3 linked regions of the Rattus norvegicus genome follow. The protein of the gene in region 1 interacts with the protein of each later gene in a pairwise test. Links are inferred from orthologs where the notes say so. Each region holds a gene or a part of one and is shown on either strand. Other genes may lie near its edges.

Region 1 (6,295 bases):
TCAGAGAGAACCTAATAGCAGTCCCACTATAAAAGATCTTAATAAATACTGATATAATTTTAGGAATTCTTATAGGATCATTATAAAGAATTGGGAACTCATTCATTTGTCTGTATAGCATCACTAAGAGACAGTACATCTTTGTAGTTCTGCAGAGATCTGCTCAAAGGGTAGGCTAATGCCTAGTGATCATTATATATGTTTAATAATAACAAGAAAGCATATTGATAACAGAAATCTTTCCTCAAATGAATTTCTCCTAGGACTTGCCTACTGGAGCTCCACTGTAGATTTTAATCTAAGTCACACCCATCTCGGAAAGATCTCCTGCTAGTTTTTAGCTTCTCCTATGTTGGCTCCTGACAACACATGCCTTTTATCAAATCATTCAGGAGACAGATTCAGGTAGATTAATATGAGTCAGAAGCCAGCCTAGTCTACACAGTGAATTCCAAGTCAGCCAGAGTTATGTAGAGAAATCTGTCTCAAAAATGATAATAAGGAAATAAAAAGCAATCTAAGACACTCAACATTAATGTCTACTTTCCACATACATGCATATCCATGCATACACACACACACACACACACACACACACACACACATACACACGCACAGTGGACTTTTATTGATGCTGAAAGCAATTTTCTCTGTGTAATTTTTGAAAGTGAAATAAAAACCACAATTAAAATCAGACAACATGAAACTCCAGTTTATAGTTATAGTAGAGGTGAGATCCTAGAACCAATGTCCATCTAGTTCTGTACCAGAGGTTCTTAACTCAGTGAAACTGTTAGCTGAAACAGACATCACATAATCATATTCCCAACATCCAAATATTTTTCATTTTCATGAAATTGAGACTTTCCTAAATAAAAAAGAGGAGACAGACTCCATATTTTTTTAAAAGTAAGATTTTTGTGGCTTCCTTGGCTCTATTCCCAAGTATAATGGGTAAGGAGCTCCGTCACAGATTACAGCTAAACCCTCATTGCAATTTCTCTCTCTGCTCTCCTTAATATAGGTAAGGACTGGGACTATAGGTTGAGGTAAATCAATTATGTGCCATGAACAATACCTTATGATTGATCTCCAACTTCAAAGGAAGGAAGAAGGGAGGGAAGGACGGAAGGAAAAAGAAAGAAAGACTGCTTTTCAAAAACAGCATAACGCTTCTAAAATGTAAACATGAGAAAGCAAAGCTTGCGTGTCTGACTATCCACTCAGTGCACATCCAATCTCACCAACTAAGCAGGGTTAGGCATGCTTAGTGCTTGGCTACAGACCACAAATTCTAGATGACCAAAGATCGCAATTCAGATCTTGATAACCAATTCATAGTTTGACTCAATTATTCTCATCAGTCTATAAAATGAATGCACATAATTTGCACTCAGCATAGACCTTTTCCTGTACCATGTAAGCACATACTTCAAACTCACTAAAAAAAAGACACTTCAAGATTGAGATTGCTAACCGCCATTTTTACAGTGGTTGGTAGCACAAACAAATACAATTTAATAAGCTGTGATGTCCATTTGTAAAGTAGACAAGAGCAATCAATTTTCAAAATCAAACCCTGTTGGAATATTACTTTCTGTATCTCCAATGATCTCTACCTTTAATTACTGATGGCTCGATTTTTTTCTTTGGTTCCTTATTCATTCAAAAAGGTAGTGCTTCCTATGGCCGTTTGCTGAAATAAGAATTTTTATCCAAGCAGCATGTGGAAATGGCGTTAGTCCTGATTTAGTAACCTGAAGTTATCCTCCTTTTACGAGGCATACAACTTCCTCCGTAAATAATCAACACTAATGAGATGTTTGTAGGAAAGCTGGCATCTGCAAGGCTAGAGAAAACATCGGTGTGTCCTGTAAACACTCATTTGAAGGGAGATATAAAAGTCTCAGGAAGCCAAAAGTCCTAGACCTTTGGGAGACTAGGCGAGACCTAAGCAATACACCATTCAATCTGTTCATTCCTTCTCAGAAGATGGCTTCCGAAGGCTCCCCTGACTGCTGCTCTTCTGAGCCCTATGCAGGGGCATCGAGCTGCACAACTGCCTCATTCTGCCCCACCAGCACAACTTACCTTCCCAGCACCTGCGCCACATCCAGATGTCAAACCCCGAGCTTCCTCTGCAGGGCTCACCTCCCGGCCGGTTGCCTCTCACCGTGCTACTTGACTGGCGGTTGTAACAGTCCTTGCCTGGTGGGGAACTGTGCATGGTGTGAAGAAGGGACGTTCAACAGTAATGAGAAGGAGACCATGCAGTTCCTGAATGACAGATTGGCCAGCTACCTAGAGCGGGTGAGAAGCCTGGAAGAGAACAATGCAGAGCTGGAGTGCAGGATCCGAGAGCAATGTGAGCCCGATGCCACACCGGTCTGCCCGGATTATCAGCGGTACTTTGACACCATTGAAGAGCTACAACAAAAGGTTGGGTGTCTCACTGCCCTAATGTTTCCCAATGTTCTCTGTTTTCCAATTCTGTTTTCTCTCATAGCTGTACTAGGGCAGGTTGCTTTGTGGATGTAAAACAAAGGAAAGGGGGATTCCCAGAGTTAGTTCAAATAATCAATCTCATTCTCAGAGAATTATTGGGTGACTATAGAAATGTCACCTTGCTGTAGACTTTGTCTACACTGTGAAGGAAATTGAGTTATGACGTCTTCTAAACCCCATTCTTCATGTATCATTGCGTGTTTATATTCTTTATCAAACAGATATTGAATGCCATCCATTTGAGTTCTGGAAATCGTTCTCTATTTGTGTGTATGTGTGCAAAATGTGGGGTTGGTGGGCGACGTGATATATGATCGTGTGGGGAGGGAACACATGCCTGAGTGTGGGTAAGGAGGTCTGGGGTCCATGGCAAGTACCTTGCGTTCCTCGCCTTGTTTTTGAGACAGAGTCTCTTCTTGAAACTGGAACTCACTGATTTAGCTGCAGTCCCTGAGGCCTGGCCAGGGAGCCCCAGGGATCTTACTGTTTCCACCTCCTTAGTACCAGGGGTTAACCGACACTGAGTATTATACTTACCTTTTTCACATGAGCTCTGTGAGATTGAACCCAGATCTTCCTACTCGTGTTTCAAACCCTTGACCAACAAAGCCACTTCTCCTTTTTTAATTGATGGATTTCTGTGACCACAGAGATGCAATTCTAACAAACACTAGCAGTGTGGGAAACTTCAACAAAGCTCAAAAGCCAGTGATGGTGACAAAATGCCCTGCATCACTGATAAAGGAAACCTTGAACCCCAGAGACGGCTCAGCAGTGATTAACAACATTGTACTGCTCATGAGCACCTGAGTTCAGTTCCTACCATCCAAGTGTGGCAGCTCACAAGCACCTAAAACTTCTCACCTTCTTCTCACTGCACAAGGCTACACTCTTACCAACATACAGACACACTCAAATGTGTACACTCTCATGTGCATACACATACTCTTAAATATACACGCTCACCTGCACATACACACACACACACACACACACACACACACACACACACACCTACACATACTAAGAAAGAAAAGGTGAAATCCTTCATTTTAGGAAGGGAAGGTCTTTTGCTTCTGTATTTTGTTTCTCAATTGGCACTGAATGTTTTTTTATTCTGTGAAGTGGCACAGTTAATAGGAATCATGGGTTGGAAGAGACATTATGTTAACTTGGAAAGACTTTCATAAACTAATGAGTGGCAAGGCTGTTAAAATAGATATGTGGATTTCTTCTAAAGAGCTCCTCACTAAATGATGACTTACCTCTTAGATATTGTGCACGAAGGCAGAGAATTCTAGACTTGCCGTGCAGGTGGACAACTGCAAACTGGCTGCCGATGATTTTAGGTCAAAGTAAGTCAAATTATGTTTATTTTGTTAAGCCACAGTGTGCTTTGTGTATGCAATTTACACGTTAAATTTTAAATTTAATTATAAAATAATAATTAACAATAATTAATGTCTTCCAGTAAGAGAGAAAATATTTTCTGCATAATATATATTTTTAACTGAGAATGTTTGAACCCTGAACTCACCTTCATTTGGAATGTAAGGAAAATTGAGGCGTGTGACTCTCTGGAGGCCATGTGTCATCCAACCCTGCATCCCAGTACTCTGAGCCAATTAAGCCACTTCCCTCCCTTTCTCCTACTCTGAAAGGTATGAGAGCGAACTGTCCCTGCGCCAGCTGGTAGAGAATGACATCAGTGGTCTTCGTGGGATCCTGGGTGAACTGACCCTGTGCAAGTCAGATCTGGAGGCCCATGTGGAGTCTCTGAAAGATGATCTACTTTGCCTTAAGAAAGACCATGAAGAGGTGAGTGGAGTGGCCGCTGGGCCAAAGACTATAGGAGGAGTTCTGTTGAGAAATCTCATGTGTATAAATTGAACAGGGACAGACACTGCCTATACTGGAACAAAACTAGAGACATTCTCACTGTGTAGCATGATTGCCCCAGTGTCTCTCAAGGTAGATGTGATGTACAGCATGCATCATTAACATAACCCTCATCAGTGGCACGGAGGTGAGGTCACTCTTTTTCCTGCCATTGCTTGGGTTGAGAAGTAACTCAACTCATGGTTTTTTCCATAGCTCTATTGTATAACAAGGAAATTGAGCTGATAAAACTGACTGTGTATCCCCTTCCAAAAAAGGGATAAACAATCACACAATACTTGGAATCATGTTTGTAGGTATTGTGTGTTTATAATTTGATTCTGTCATAAGCTATTAAAATGAGAAGCAGATTGATGTAACAAAGAAAAAATTTACTCTTTGAATATTTTGATGGTAACAATAGCTGGCAAGTGTGGATACCTTAGCTGGTAACAATAGTTGGCAATTATGGATACCTGAGCGTGTGTCATTAATTTTATAGATTTACTGTGTGTGTAGTAGTGTGTAGTAACTCTTCCCTGTCTCACAATAATCCTCTGGGAAAGGGTACAAAATTACACCTGTTTTGCAGACAAATAGCTGAAACATTTGGACCTAATAGAAAGAGTATAAGGGAAAATGACTCAGCAATTAAGAGTGCTGTTTGCTCTTCCAGAGGACCCAAGTTCAGCTTCCTGTACCCATGTCAGGGAGCTCACAACTGCCCATAACCCCAGCTCCATGTGGCATACAGACACACATAAATGTAAATTTTAAAAATCTTTCTTAAACAGAAGTAAACCCCACTCTGACATTCCTTACTCCATTTCCATTCTCAGGAGGTCAACTTGCTTCGTGAGCAGCTTGGAGATCGACTCAATGTGGAGCTGGACACTGCCCCCACTGTGGACCTCAACAAGGTCCTGGATGAGATGCGGTGTCAATATGAGAGGGTGCTGGCCAACAACCGCAGGGATGCGGAGGAGTGGTTCGCTGCTCAGGTCAGTGCCCTTGGGAAAGGGAAGACTTCGGGGAGGATGCCTTGCCTGAGCTCTCTAACAGGGCCTTTGTTTCAGACAGAAGAGCTGAACCAGCAGCAGATGTCCAGTGCAGAGCAGCTGCAGGGCTGCCAGACTGAGATGCTGGAGTTGAAGCGTACAGCCAACACTCTGGAAATTGAGCTCCAGGCACAGCAAACCCTGGTGCGTGGGATGAACAGTGCTAACCTTTGTCAGCAGCATCCCAGAGATGCTATGCTCTTTGACAGAAGTCCAGGGAGACACTCACAGTTCAGCCAATTAACCTAGCTGGCTTTTCCCTGTCTTTCTTCACAAACATTACTTACCCATATTGGAAGAATGACAGACCAACAGCCTTTGTGGTCTCACTGGTCCCCCTAAGCCTGAGCATGCCCCCCAGTAACATCCACGAGAGACAAGAAAAGTCTCAGAACACAGTGGGACAGGGAGAGGTGAGCCAAAGGCCCTTAAGCTTAACAATGGATTTTCATTTCCTTTAGTTTGATGAACATTTTTCCAGTTTCACCGTAGTGTCTAAAACAAACAAAAAACACATCAAGTTTCCAGTGTTCATACTACAGTTAAGATCTGCACATCACCACACTTCTTCCCCACCCACGCAACAAGAGCACCATGCAGTGAAAGTCACATATACCAGGTCCATCGGCAGCGCAGTATGTGTTGGACCACATCCAAGGAGTATACCTAGATGAACCTCACCTGAGCATTCATGTAGGAGAGGCATGGTGTAATCTATGGCAGACACCTTCGCTAGCCTGGTTGAACAGGTGGGAGGAAGCTAGGACCAAAGGAAGTAAGTGCCAGAACATTCTGCAGTTCTCCGTAGAAATGGAATCCTCTTGGTGGTTGAACCCCGATCTTACTTCATGGTA
Region 2 (6,237 bases), on another chromosome or scaffold:
TGGTGCGAGACTGTGAAAAGGTGGCCTTCTTCCTTTCACTGCTCCTTGGGTGTTTCCTAGTCACGTACACCGAAGTTAGGCTGGGGAATGATTTCATAAGGCTTTGGATGTAGAAACAAGAACAAGTGTATTGGCGGATCTTCAGTTAATATACGAGTCTAATTTTTAATTCTCACAGGAGCCCCTACACCTCTCTTTCGTTAGCACCCTGGTGGAACCATGGTTCCTAAGCCGCTGTCGCTTTCTTCGTTTGTTCTCATTTGATTTCTTTGCTGTTGAGAATCGAATTTCGTTTGAGTGGATGTTTTAGGAAAACCTTTTCTGACACATGCTTTTCTTGGGCCAAAAATTCTGATGTCCTTGATCTGGGTGTTTTTGAAATGTGTGGGAAAGGGGGAAGGAGAGCCCGCACCCTTAGGGGAAGATGCAGAAGGTGCCCAAGGTCTCTCCAGGGCCTTTTGAACCCAGCCTGGAGCCGCTCGACCACCCGAAGCCCTAGTGAAACCGAAACCACTGAAGAACAGGGACTTGAGGAGAAAATTGGAGCGGACTGGGGGTCCATTTTAGGTCTTTGGTAAATGAAACTAGAGTTTTGAACTAGAGATGTTGGGGGAAGAACTTGGTGCCTTCGCAGAAGCTCTTGGATCTTGCCATCACTTTCTAGTAGGTAGGTGTTACCTTTGGCAAACCTCCAGGTCACTTTGCTCGCCTCCAAGAGGAGAACTGAGATGGACAGCCAGGAGTTTGGGTTAGGCCAGAAGTTATAGGCCAAACAGGAGGAAATCTGACCAGAGTGTAAATACAGAACATACAATCCGACCACACCTCCCTGGATCAGAAAAGGAGCCACTGTCAAGCATGTGTATGTCGAGAGTGAGCATGCCTGTTATTTGGAGAGGCTCTCACAGACCTATAACCCCCCTGGCCAGCAAATTCTAATGGACCACTATCTTTTTGAGACTTTCTAGGCTCCCTGTGAGGCTTAGCACTCTGTGCTGCGCGTCTAGTAGAAGAAACCCATTGTTGAAGGTGGGTGGGGCTGAGAATTTAAATCGGGAGGGCATTGCCAGTGCACTTGAGGTGTTAGGGGTGGGCATCCAGATTCTTCTGGAGTAGACAGGTCAGGCTACTACAGAAGCGAGAAAGCTTGGAAAATGAGAACTGGCGAAAGCTTCCCACCACACCAGCTCTTCTCAAACCAAGAGAAGGCCAATGGGGAGATGTCTTCCGTGCAGGGACATACCCTGGAAGCAGGTTCCCGTCAGGAAACTTGGCTTTTTCTTTCCTAGTTAAAAGGAGTGGGTCATGCAGGTGGCCCCTGTGGGTTCCCTTGCCTCCTGGGATCTGAAGTGGTGAGCATGGAGCTGCTTACCCACCCCATCCCCCAAGGCAACTAGGAGGGACCCTCAAGACCCGAAGTTCTTTGAATATTCATTCCTTTATTTTAGGAGTTCCTATGGATCCTTTCAGCAATGTAGGATATAGTTTGGAGCTTTTGCTTAGGAGAAGTTGTCTTCTGTCCCTGGAAAGTGTGAACATGGCCACCAGCTTGCTCCAGACTCGGCTGTCAGAGGAATTCAAGCTATCTCTGGTTACCTGTTGGCAAGCCTGGGAGAGCAACTGTGACACTTTCCTTCCTTCCTTCCTCCGTTTCTTAAGGACATTCACACACACAGCCATTTCTTATATAGCTGACATCATAATCTTGTAAAGATTAATTTAGCAAAAAGCAAATCTTACTCGGTGGGGTCAGTGGGGTTGTAGATTACCGATTAAGACAGCTAGTGGCTATAGGAATCTTCACAAGAAGCACTGAGATCTAAGGAGCCTCTTAACACTGGGAGCCTAAATCCAGTCACTCAGAGATTAGGGTTTTAAGAGTCCTCTTAGTTCGTGGCAGAGGTATGACATTTTTTTTTCTCTTGTTTTCTCCCAGAAATTTTGGCTCTCTGGCTGAAATGGGTTTTCTCTGCCCAGATGAATAGGTCCTGAACTTGTGAGTGTAAGATGGTTAGGAAGTCTGTCAGAACGCAGAAGTGGGGGTGAGGATTTTCCTAGTCTGGACCCAATGCAGGGCTTGCCAGTCAGCTTCTGACCCCCGTCCCACTCTAGCCCTGTAGTTCTCCTAACAGTGATAGCCTGGGCCTTGGAGATCTCTGCCCTGATGGTCGGTGACGGGAGACCTGCTGTGATGGGGCCAAAGGCGCCCCCCTCCGGTCATATCAAAGACAGTAGTTGGGTGGGAGTGAGGACTCCACCTATCCTTTGGCAGCTGGGTTTTCCGGAACACCTTCCAGGCTTAGCCTGCTGTAGGATCTCCCCCTCAGCTCTCCAGGGCCTGGCTGGAGCAGCCTGTTCTGGGCTCCTCCGCAGCGGAGGCAGGGGAGAGCTCAGAGCCTTATTCTCCTTCCAACAATGTCAAGGTTGCTCTCCCCTCCCTGGTCCAGATCAACCGTGGGAAAGTGGCTACCTTGGCTGCGAGGGCCTTTCCCTCCGAGGCCTGGACAAGAAGCCTTTGAACACTCTGAAACTTCGCGAAGTCAGCAATCTTTCCGCCGACCCCCACTCCCGCCCTCTTCGAGATGGGCTCAGCTCAGTCCCCAGGTACAGCGGGTTCCTAATCAGCCCGAGCTCTGATAAGCTTCTAATTAAAAGAGCTCTCCCTGCGTTCCTGCTGCTTCACTGCTGCCCCTCCCAGAAGACCCGAGGGAGGGGCTCAAGGTTGCCTCTGCCGGCCGAGGTTTGCGGGTGTCATCTATGGGAAGGAGGGTAAGAAGCCTTGCTGGACGCCCGCTTCCTCGAGCCGGGGTTCCGGACCGCGGAGCCGAGGTCCCTGGCGTGGGAGCTGCAGCCCGGGCACTAGCAGCTCTCGTTACCAGCGATTGAGCAGCGGGTCTGAGATTTTGCGTGGCCTGAGATCATTGGCTACTCGGCTCAGGAATGGAGAAGGGTTCGTTTAGAGACAATTTCTTTATTGCTCTACCTCTTTCCCCCTGTTTTGTTTAAGGATTCTTCCACAAACTCCCGTATTTCTCCTGGGAACACTCGGGTGGGTGCCTGGACCCAAATTTTGATTGTAAGCTGTAGGCCTCAAGCAGAGCCAGGCTTCATTTCTCAAAAGGGAGACTCTGGAAGGCTATATATACTTTTTAATCCACACCCAAGAGTTATTAGGGTTGGGGATTATCTTTCCTTGCTTCAGAAGTAAAGGACTCGCTCACCCAGGTTGAAAAGCTGGCTGATTCCTCAGTCACTAACCAGAGTTCTCCGGGGCACTCAACGCCTTCCAAGGTACAGCTTGGTGATTCCTATGGTATCCCATCACTCCCCTTCACTGTAAAGCGCCACCATCGGTAGAGTACATCGACTGCTCCGGAGCAATCCCGATAGGAATGAAGGCCGGGTTTTTGTCTGGACAGTGGGAGTCACCTCTGTATTTTGAAATTGGAGATAACTGTCTGTGTACTGAATGAAGGGTCTCAGCGACTCTTATTGAAGAACCTCGATCAACTGGTGGGTTAAAAACATCACATGACATAACTGAGTCTCCAAAGAAACCAGAAATTTTCACTTCAGGTGGTTACTTCCTAGAATTTATTGGGATTTAGAGACTGCGCAGTAGGAAGCCACCGGGGCTACTGCAGGATGGCCCTGAAGGGAGGGGGAGTAGCCACTCTGTGAGGACCAGCGCTTATTGGCATTCTATCCTGCAAGTCCTGGTTCCCCCTTCACCAGGAGGGGAGGAGGAGAAGGCCCTACCCCAATTAAGTCCCTAGAAGGATTTTTAAGATGAGGGCGTCCACAAGAACTTGAGATTTGGCAAACAGATGGGAAATGTGTTTATAGAAACTTCGTAACAATACCGTGAAAGAATATGGAATTTCAAGACTCTTGGTTGGTTTTCATCCATTGGAGAGCTAGGACTGATCATCACCAGCCTCAGCTTCTCAGCAGGGAAACTGAGGCAAGGGGCTGAAACACTGCTACACAGGGATAGTGTTAGGGACAGTGTCCTGACCTGTAGGGCAAGAAGGTTGGTCACCACAGCAGTGGACAGAACTGGGCCCCCTAGGCTCCAGGTAAGGGTAGGAGGGACAGAAGGATTCGACCTAACTGGAAGGGTCGTGCCCGCCCCCGCCCCTACAAGCTTTCCTGAAGGCTTTGGGTGTCTTGGTGTCAGGCTGTGCAGCCCAGAGAGGTAACATGCCCTGGTAATTACTCTGTCCATTTAAAGCGCAGACCGTTGAACTGGCTCAGAGTAATTAATGAAAGCTGGTGCGCGGGCCCTTGATTTACAGCCCTGAGTCAAAGCGGGGTCAGCGGAGGAAACCCGGTCCTCTGGGCCGAGCCGCCCCAGCGTGAGAGCCACGGTGTTGTTTGTTTTTTAAGAAAGACAGTTTCTCCGCCAGGCGGGCGACGGTTTTTACACCCAACTTGCTGGAGGTTCTATTCAACAGTGGAAGACAGGCACAGAAGAATTGGGGAAAGGCGCGGAGTTGGGGATTTTATTCGGGAAAGAGGATGGGATTAGTTTCCACCACAAAGTTTGGTGCACCCCCCGGGCCCCCCTGCCCCGTCCCCGCTTCAAGTCTGAAGTTCTAGAGGGCGGAGGGGGTAGTGGTGGTGGCTGGGATGGCAGGGGACTACAGGGGACGACAGAGGACGACTCTACTGCTGATGCGAATTCGGAGATCGGGTACTCGCTGCCACCCGGGTTCGAGTCCTGCCAATGTCCCTGACTTTTCAGGAACCTAATTGACTCTGTGCTTCTTTGTGCCTCTTCTTCAGGATACAGCACGGTCACTTTCGACGGGGCACCCAGTTATGGCCACACGCCCTCGCACCATGCAGCGCAGTTCCCCAATCATTCCTTCAAACACGAGGACCCCATGGGCCAGCAGGGCTCGCTGGGTAAGTGGGTGGGGAAAAAGCCGGTTTTACCGGATGTCTCCATCTATATTACCGCATCTTACCCAAATTTTGAATTCCTAGCAAACTGGGAAAGCGAGACAGCAAAAGGGATTTTAGAAATACTAGCTTGTTTTACTCTATTTGAAAGATCGAATCTCCTTCCGTTCAAAGTACACTAAGGAAAAACGTCCCTCAGGCAAGGCTTCCAATGCTAGATAGTGACTGCGATGCAACCTAAAGTGAAGAAGTAGTCCTTGAGTCGCGAGCCCCAAGTCACACAGCTGACCTCTCTGTCCGAGGCTCAGCAAGCTCCCCCACTCCACACCAGAACCCCTGCCTGTGCCTCACACTCTCGGGTCCCGCTCACTGCTGCCCTTGGCTCTCTGGCAGGCGAGCAGCAGTACTCGGTGCCACCTCCAGTGTATGGCTGCCACACCCCTACCGACAGTTGCACAGGCAGCCAGGCCCTGCTCCTGAGGACGCCCTACAGCAGGTAAGAAGGTGCAGAGCACCGGGGCTAAGGCCTGGAGATCCGGGAGGCGCAGGTGAGCCTGCGGCGGCGACGGAACGCCTGACTCTGGGCATCGCTGACAGCGGGAGACAAACGAAGTCTTCTTTAAGCCTAGACACTCAGTTTAAAGAAAGCAGGTGCCTTGGTTTGTTGTTTTGCATATAAACGAAGGTCACTGTGTTTGGTGATAAAAAGGAAACTGCTGCTTTGGGGGTTTCTTTTCTTTGGTTTTTCGAGACAGGATTTTTCTGTGTGTCCTGGTAGTTCTGTAGACCAGTCTGGCCTCGAACTGAGGGATCCGCTTGTCTCAGTCTCCCGAGTGCTGAGATTAAAGGCATGCGCCATCATGCCCGGTCATGCGTTATTTCTTAATGGTCTTTGCTGGGAGCCCTTTAACTTCCCCAAGACAAAAAGAAAAAAAAAATTTAAGGACCAAGTCCACTCCAACTCTGTCCATCTAGTTAAAAGCTTCCGCGTCAACTGGCCACACAGGCCAAACTACTTAAAGAGTGGGCCACATCCTTCCTCTCACCCTTGCCCTCTAGAGTTTTGGCCCGTGACAGTGTTTCGTAGACTTGTTTTGTGGCTGCCCTGTGTGCGCTCCGGGGCTAGACCCTTTGCTCGAGACTGTGATCACGAAGATGCGCAGGCACGCAAACCTTCTTGCTTCGGGGAGAAGGAACTTTTTTCCTCATTTAAACTCTGCTCCCTCCCCCTTCTCTGGTCTCTAGTTCCACTTTCCACCTTTTCTTACCCAAATTTATTCTTCAACTTTGGGTGAACTTGGCGGGCATCCCGCGTCGCAGATAGCGTTG
Region 3 (6,237 bases), on another chromosome or scaffold:
CACATAATTGTCAAAACACCAAACGCACAAAATAAAGAAAGAATATTAAAAGCAGTAAGGGAAAAAGGTCAAGTAACATATAAAGGCAGACCTATCAGAATCACACCAGACTTTTCGCCAGAAACTATGAAGGCCAGAAGATCCTGGACAGATGTCATACAGACCCTAAGAGAACACAAATGCCAGCCCAGGTTACTGTATCCTGCAAAACTCTCAATTAACATAGATGGAGAAACCAAGATATTCCATGACAAAACCAAATTTACACAATATCTTTCTACAAATCCAGCACTACAAAGGATAATAAAGGGTAAAGCCCAACATAAGGAGGCAAGCTATACCCTAGAAGAAGCAAGAAACTAATCGTCTTGGCAACAAAACAAAGAGAATGAAAGCACACAAACATAACCTCACATCCAAATATGAATATAACAGGAAGCAATAATCACTATTCCTTAATATCTCTCAACATCAATGGCCTCAACTCCCCAATAAAAAGACATAGATTAACAAACTGGATACGCAATGAGGACCCTGCATTCTGCTGCCTACAGGAAACACACCTCAGAGACAAAGACAGACACTACCTCAGAGTGAAAGGCTGGAAAACAACTTTCCAAGCAAATGGTCAGAAGAAGCAAGCTGGAGTAGCCATTCTAATATCAAATAAAATCAATTTTCAATTAAAAGTCATCAAAAAAGATAAGGAAGGACACTTCATATTCATCAAAGGAAAAATCCACCAAGATGAACTCTCAATCCTCATCTTCGATTGGTTTATATACAAGTGTGCAATTTCTAGGCTTGAAAGTAAAATGATGCTATTTGGTGCTGGATAGAGGAGCCTTATTTTTTATTATGGCAGCTTGCTATTTTTGTAACATGGTAATTTGGTTGAACACAATAAAGTACAGTAGTAACTGATCTCCCCCTCTTCCTGGATGAGTGAGGAGATGATTAAATGTTGATGTCAGCATCCATGAGCATATTCAGATGAGCTTCTGCTTCTGTTGAAAAGGATGCTGTGTTTGATTGTGGTCCGAAGCTTTGAAGCACTACTTGGCATCTCCTTCCTTGGAGGTCTCACTGTTTAAACATAACAGATTTGATAGCTTGTTGGTAAGGTGAGGTCCAGCTTGTCTCCACTAGGTCATCTTCATGGGAATCCGGTGGTTATACAGTTTTGTTCTAGGGATATTTCATTTTTTAATAACGGTTTTAGCTGACATTCATGGAGAGAATGAATCCTTAGAAGTGTGCCACTAGTGAAAGGAAATCCTGTCTAGAGTATGTTTCTTTACAAAGCTGTGTCACACCATCCTTTGGGCCCTCTGCTGGAGAAGTAGAATCAAGTCTCAAATAATGCCTTTTAAATTGTATCCTCTAGTATTATAGATGTAGGACAGTACTGTATCATACCTCTGTGGATGTAAAATAGCTCGTACCTGCTTTATGATACGTAGTAGTGACCGTGCTTTATCAGAGCTGTTTTTAATGATGTTGCTCAGAAAGTTTTCTTTCCAGATGATGATTGAGAAGCTAATTTAAAAAAAAATGGTGCCAGGTACCACAAGAGTAACAGAACTGTGCTGTTTTCTCGGGTTTTGTTTTTTTACTTTTTTTTTTTTTAATGGAGTGTGCTGGATGTCTCTACAGTTTTGTTCAGATGACTGCAGAACCTGGAAAAGCTGTTGCTGCTGTTGATGCATAACACACTGCTATTATTGGTCTTTTTATATAAATATAAATATATATATACAGATAAAAAAAATAGATGGAGAGCCATCCTGATGTTAACCTCTGGCCTCCAAACACCCCGTCACACCCGTATACCATACAAAGGTACACGGCTACACAGACTAAAACCTAAAGATAAATAGATAAATGGGATTCAATTGGTGTTTTCTAGAATCAAACGGACCAAGGCATTTTCTAGATTCCCTGCTCTGCCTCTTTCTCACTGTGTGACCTTAGGCAAGTTATTTAATCTCTATTTTCCTCTTTGGAAGAAGGTGGGAAGGATGCCTGTCTGGTAGGGATGCATGTTTTAAATGTGGTGACAGCACAGATAAAGACCTAGCTGAAATGGTGGTCTTTAGTCCCTGTCCCCCTGCCCACACACACACACCTTTGAGGAGGTGGACGGTTCTTCTGCCATGCAGCCCTCCTGGCTGTTGGTAGACAAGCATGGCTGCAGGTAGTTTCGGTGTCTGCAAAGACAGGAGCCAGTGGTTAAATGTGAGAAGAGAGAAGAGAGAGGATGGTGTTGGTCTAGACTGAGCCGTGTGTGGTCCTGAGGAAGCAAGACCCAGCCCTCCCACTTGCTGTTGCCATTGCTAGTCAGGGAGGCAGCAAAGCTCTTCCTGTCCCTTTCCTTCCTCCCTTACCTGTCCCCGGGAGCTTCTCATGCCACCCTGAGCAGCCCAAGACTTTCAGCAGCCCAAATGCTCTCGTGCCCTTTCCTCTTTGGACTAGACTGGCAGATCTGACCTGACTACCTTTTTTGTTAGTGTCCCTCACCTAGGAGACAGCACTGTGGGACTGAGCACAGACCATGCCATCCAAATATGGGCAGAGAGAAAAGCAGATGGGCTTGTGTTGGGAGCTAATGTTCTTAGAGACATGGACTCCAAAATGGCAGGCAAGGAGCTATGAACTGAGACTCAGCTGGAAGACTGTGTCAGGAAGGTTTTGAGGAGTGGAAAATAGCAGCCTGCCTTCGTGGGCTTCAGTAGGGCACCTAGGCTACTGGGCCAGCCAAGCATGTGACTAGGTAGAACTGAATGAATATTTCATATGACTCACTAGTTTGAAATCCTTCAACAGCTTCCCATTGGTCTTAGGATGAACCCCAGGGCTTGCAGTATGGCTGGGCAGGACCCACATGATCTGGCTCCCAGCTCTTCCTTTCACATCCTCCCTGCTTCTAAAGTTAGGACTGGACATCGTACTCAACCTGGTGTGGCTCTCCCTGAGTGTTCAAAGACTTGGTGCACTGTGTGCTGGGTGGTGTTGAGATCAGAGCAGGGACTAGTACACTCTTCCATTGTTTCATCTCCAGAACCCCAGAGAGTCTTCCTTGTAGGAAGTATCAACAGTACTATTTATGAAGTGGCTCTCAAGATGCCTGATTTCCTAAATGGGAAAGTGGTTGTAAGAACGTGGTCACTGGTGGCAGCGGTGGTGGGCGGTGGGGTTGGTGGGGGAGACGGCAGTGGCAGCACGCCGTACTTGAACTGCAGCGCTCAGGATGCAGAAGCAGGCAGATCTTTGAGTAAAAGGCCAGCCCTGGTCTACAGATAGAGTTGCAGGACAGCCAGGACTACACAAAGAAATTCTGTCTCAGGGGTAGGGAGAGGGGAGGGGAGGACAGTGGTCTACAGGTAACCCTAGGGAATAAGTGAATAGATCCCTTTGCTGCTCCCAACTGGGAACCCTATGGAAATTGGTGTGGGTTAATCTCCCTGTGCTTCTCTCTCCTTATATGAGGTTTGTGGTTTTAGGTGAGTTATGTCATAACAATGGCCAACCCATCTGATCCAGGTTATTGTTGGTTCACCTAGAGTCTAACCTGTCTTTCCACTGCTGCCTCAGACTCTGTAAGTCCCCGTGGTCACACCTTTAGTCCGCCAGCTTCTCCTGCATTGCACTCAGACCCTTGCAGAGACACATCTGTGTTACCATCCACGTGGTTTTCTATGCTTCTCTCCAAGCCTTTAGGTCTCATGGAGGCAGGGCACCATTGGCACCTTTCCTCTAAGCTACGTTCAGGGTGCTCCGTCAACGTCACGTGGCCTGGGTTGCCCAAGGCAGTTTGACTTAGAGTGTGGGGTTTAGGGTTTCTAGGGGCGGCTCTGGGTCTTGCCCCAGCCTTCAGGGATGAAGATCTGGCCTTGGGTCTCTAAGTTGCTGAAGCTCTCCCATTGCTGTCTCCTCCAGGCACGGACATGGCTGTCTTCTGTCTGCTGTGTGGGAAGCGCTTTCAGGCACAGAGTGCACTCCAGCAACACATGGAGGTCCACGCAGGCGTGCGCAGCTATATCTGCAGCGAGTGCAACCGCACCTTCCCCAGCCACACGGCTCTCAAGCGCCACCTTCGCTCACATACAGGTAGGCTGGTCCAGGGGATGGGTGGGAGCATCTCTGGACCTTATATCTGGGCTTCACCTCCAAAAATACATGGTGTTTGTGTGCAGGGGGGAGGATGTTTCAGGTTGAAGCATTCTCAGCCATTCTCTGCTTGAAGTTAGACACAGAAGGGCTCCCATAGAACATTTAAATGTTGTCAGTTTTCCCAATCTACCACCCACCCCTCCACCTGTAGACATCTGTTCCCAATCTTTCCACACACAGCACAGAAAATATTCATTAAAAGAAAAGCGTACTCTTGAGGTTTACCCTCGGAATCTTTGGTTCTGTGGTTCGGGGTGGGCTCTAGCTCTCAACACCACTAGTGAGTATTCCCAGGGGATTCTGATAGTGGAGGTGGGGAGTTGCAAATTGCATTTTGAGAAAAACTGGCCTAACTATTACAATCCCACGATTTCCCCCAATCCATCCTAGAACAGCAGTGAGGGTCAGCTCAAGGCTCCAGAGGATACAGTGAGGAACACATCCCACCTCCATAGCAGACACAGGAGGTCTCACTGTGACCGTAATGTTCTCTAGGGAAGACAATGAGTATTTGAGCATGAGATAGCCCTGCCCAGCCAGTTCACACGATGGAGTGAAAGACAGAGTATATGTGAGTCACGTAGGCGGGCTTAGTTGCCCAGTCCTGGCCTATCCTTGCCACCACCCTCTTGCTTTAGGAGATAGGATACCCAGTTCAGAGGGCCTTGAAGGAGCTGTTGGTCTTTTCCTATCTGAGGAATAAATGATTTAACTCCTTTCTTTGCTCTAAAACAAAATGAGATCATGTCTTACTGTCCCTGAGTGAAAGAATGCCAATTCCTGAATTGCATATCTGTCTTGTCTGTTTCTCTCTCTCTCTCTCTCTCTCTCTCTCTCTCTCTCTCTCTCTCTCTCTCTCTGTATATGTGTGTGTGTGTGTGTGTGTGTGTGTGTGTGTGTGTGTGTGTGTGTTCCTGATCTGGTTTTGCGGGAGAGCTGATCAAGTCTCTCTGTAAGGATATAGTGGAATACATCCACAACATAAATGCTCTGCACGCTTCAGGGAAGCCTGGAAGAACTTCTCATTCTCAAGAGCCTTTTCATAGCTGAGGAAAGGAGTATGTGGCTCCCTTTAAATGGATGACCGGCTCTGATGAATGAAGAAGGAGTTTTACTTTCAGGAGCTGAGCTGTACGGTCCAGCCAGTCATCACCATTCTCACCAAGGAGCCTGCCTTAGCTCTGGGTTCTGGATACCATGCTAGTCAGAGGAGCACAGCGCCGTATCATTATCAAATGGGAAAGGCTCACCAGATGGTTAGATCTGCCTAGGGCTGCTCCATAGAAAGGAGGAAGTCTTAGCAGGTAAGGTCCAGCAAGAGGGACCAAAGAGAAAGGGGTATATTCAACAACTCTCCCTATGGTGTCTGCACAAGGACCTCCCTGTAAGACACACACACACACACACACACACACACACACACACACACACACACACACACACACAGTCACAGTCACACATCATCATCATCATCATCATCATCATCATCATCATCATCATCATCATCATCATCCCATCAATGATTCTCTCGATGGATCAGTCTTAGCCCAGCCTCCTTTAGCTACCTCCAGTTATGCCACTGGATCAAGTCACTTGACGTCACATGATATGAATGGCTCAAGTCCTATGAAGTCCACCCAGGATGCAGCTTACTTTACTCACACCCCTGTCTCAGAGTTCAATTAGCCACATGTCAGTCCAGTTCTACTCAGGGTAAGCCAAACTTCAGATCTCCAGCAAGGACAGACAGAGTTTGGGAGAAACCCTCCCTCGTTCTAGAAATACAGACACGTGTGCCCCTTGTGCACACACATTCAAGCACTCATTGATTTTCACACCAGCCCAGCACGGGCTCTGCACGCCCCCGACACAATGCCTTATTAATATTCCGTTGTTCTTGGCCCATTTGCTGCTGGGGCCGGTGTTTAGCATCAGCAGCTGTGTTTGGTACGTTAGTCCAGCCGTGCTCTTGGCATTGATGGATCCTTGATTCACACGACTCATCGTACAATAAACTCTCAGCTGCACGGAAGGGAGGGGCCGAGGGGAAAGGATCTGAGGAGC

What was found.
Region 2: the proteins of Krt40 (region 1) and Wt1 interact in binary tests that used the Homo sapiens proteins (3 or more experiments, as listed by UniProt). The two-hybrid records come from large-scale screens. The link is inferred for Rattus norvegicus from reciprocal best matches to the Homo sapiens genes KRT40 and WT1.
Region 3: the proteins of Krt40 (region 1) and Zbtb16 interact in binary tests that used the Homo sapiens proteins (3 or more experiments, as listed by UniProt). The two-hybrid records come from large-scale screens. The link is inferred for Rattus norvegicus from reciprocal best matches to the Homo sapiens genes KRT40 and ZBTB16.

What each region holds. Positions count from the first base shown.
Region 1 is NC_086028.1:84,994,596-85,000,890, reverse strand, and holds the start of Krt40 (keratin, type I cytoskeletal 40), read left to right. Parts: upstream 1-1,992; coding exon 1,993-2,439; intron 2,440-3,777; coding exon 3,778-3,860; intron 3,861-4,166; coding exon 4,167-4,323; intron 4,324-5,222; coding exon 5,223-5,384; intron 5,385-5,459; coding exon 5,460-5,585; intron 5,586-6,295. UniProt on the Homo sapiens protein: May play a role in late hair differentiation.
Region 2 is NC_086021.1:112,023,164-112,029,400, forward strand, and holds part of Wt1 (Wilms tumor protein homolog), read left to right. Parts: exon of another isoform or gene 1-2,582; coding exon of another isoform or gene 2,583-2,604; intron 2,605-2,642; exon of another isoform or gene 2,643-2,940; coding exon of another isoform or gene 2,941-2,950; intron 2,951-4,788; coding exon 4,789-4,911; intron 4,912-5,301; coding exon 5,302-5,404; intron 5,405-6,237. UniProt on the Homo sapiens protein: Transcription factor that plays an important role in cellular development and cell survival. Recognizes and binds to the DNA sequence 5'-GCG(T/G)GGGCG-3'. Regulates the expression of numerous target genes, including EPO.
Region 3 is NC_086026.1:57,897,283-57,903,519, reverse strand, and holds part of Zbtb16 (zinc finger and BTB domain-containing protein 16), read left to right. Parts: intron 1-3,939; coding exon 3,940-4,110; intron 4,111-6,237. UniProt on the Homo sapiens protein: Acts as a transcriptional repressor. Transcriptional repression may be mediated through recruitment of histone deacetylases to target promoters. May play a role in myeloid maturation and in the development and/or maintenance of other differentiated tissues.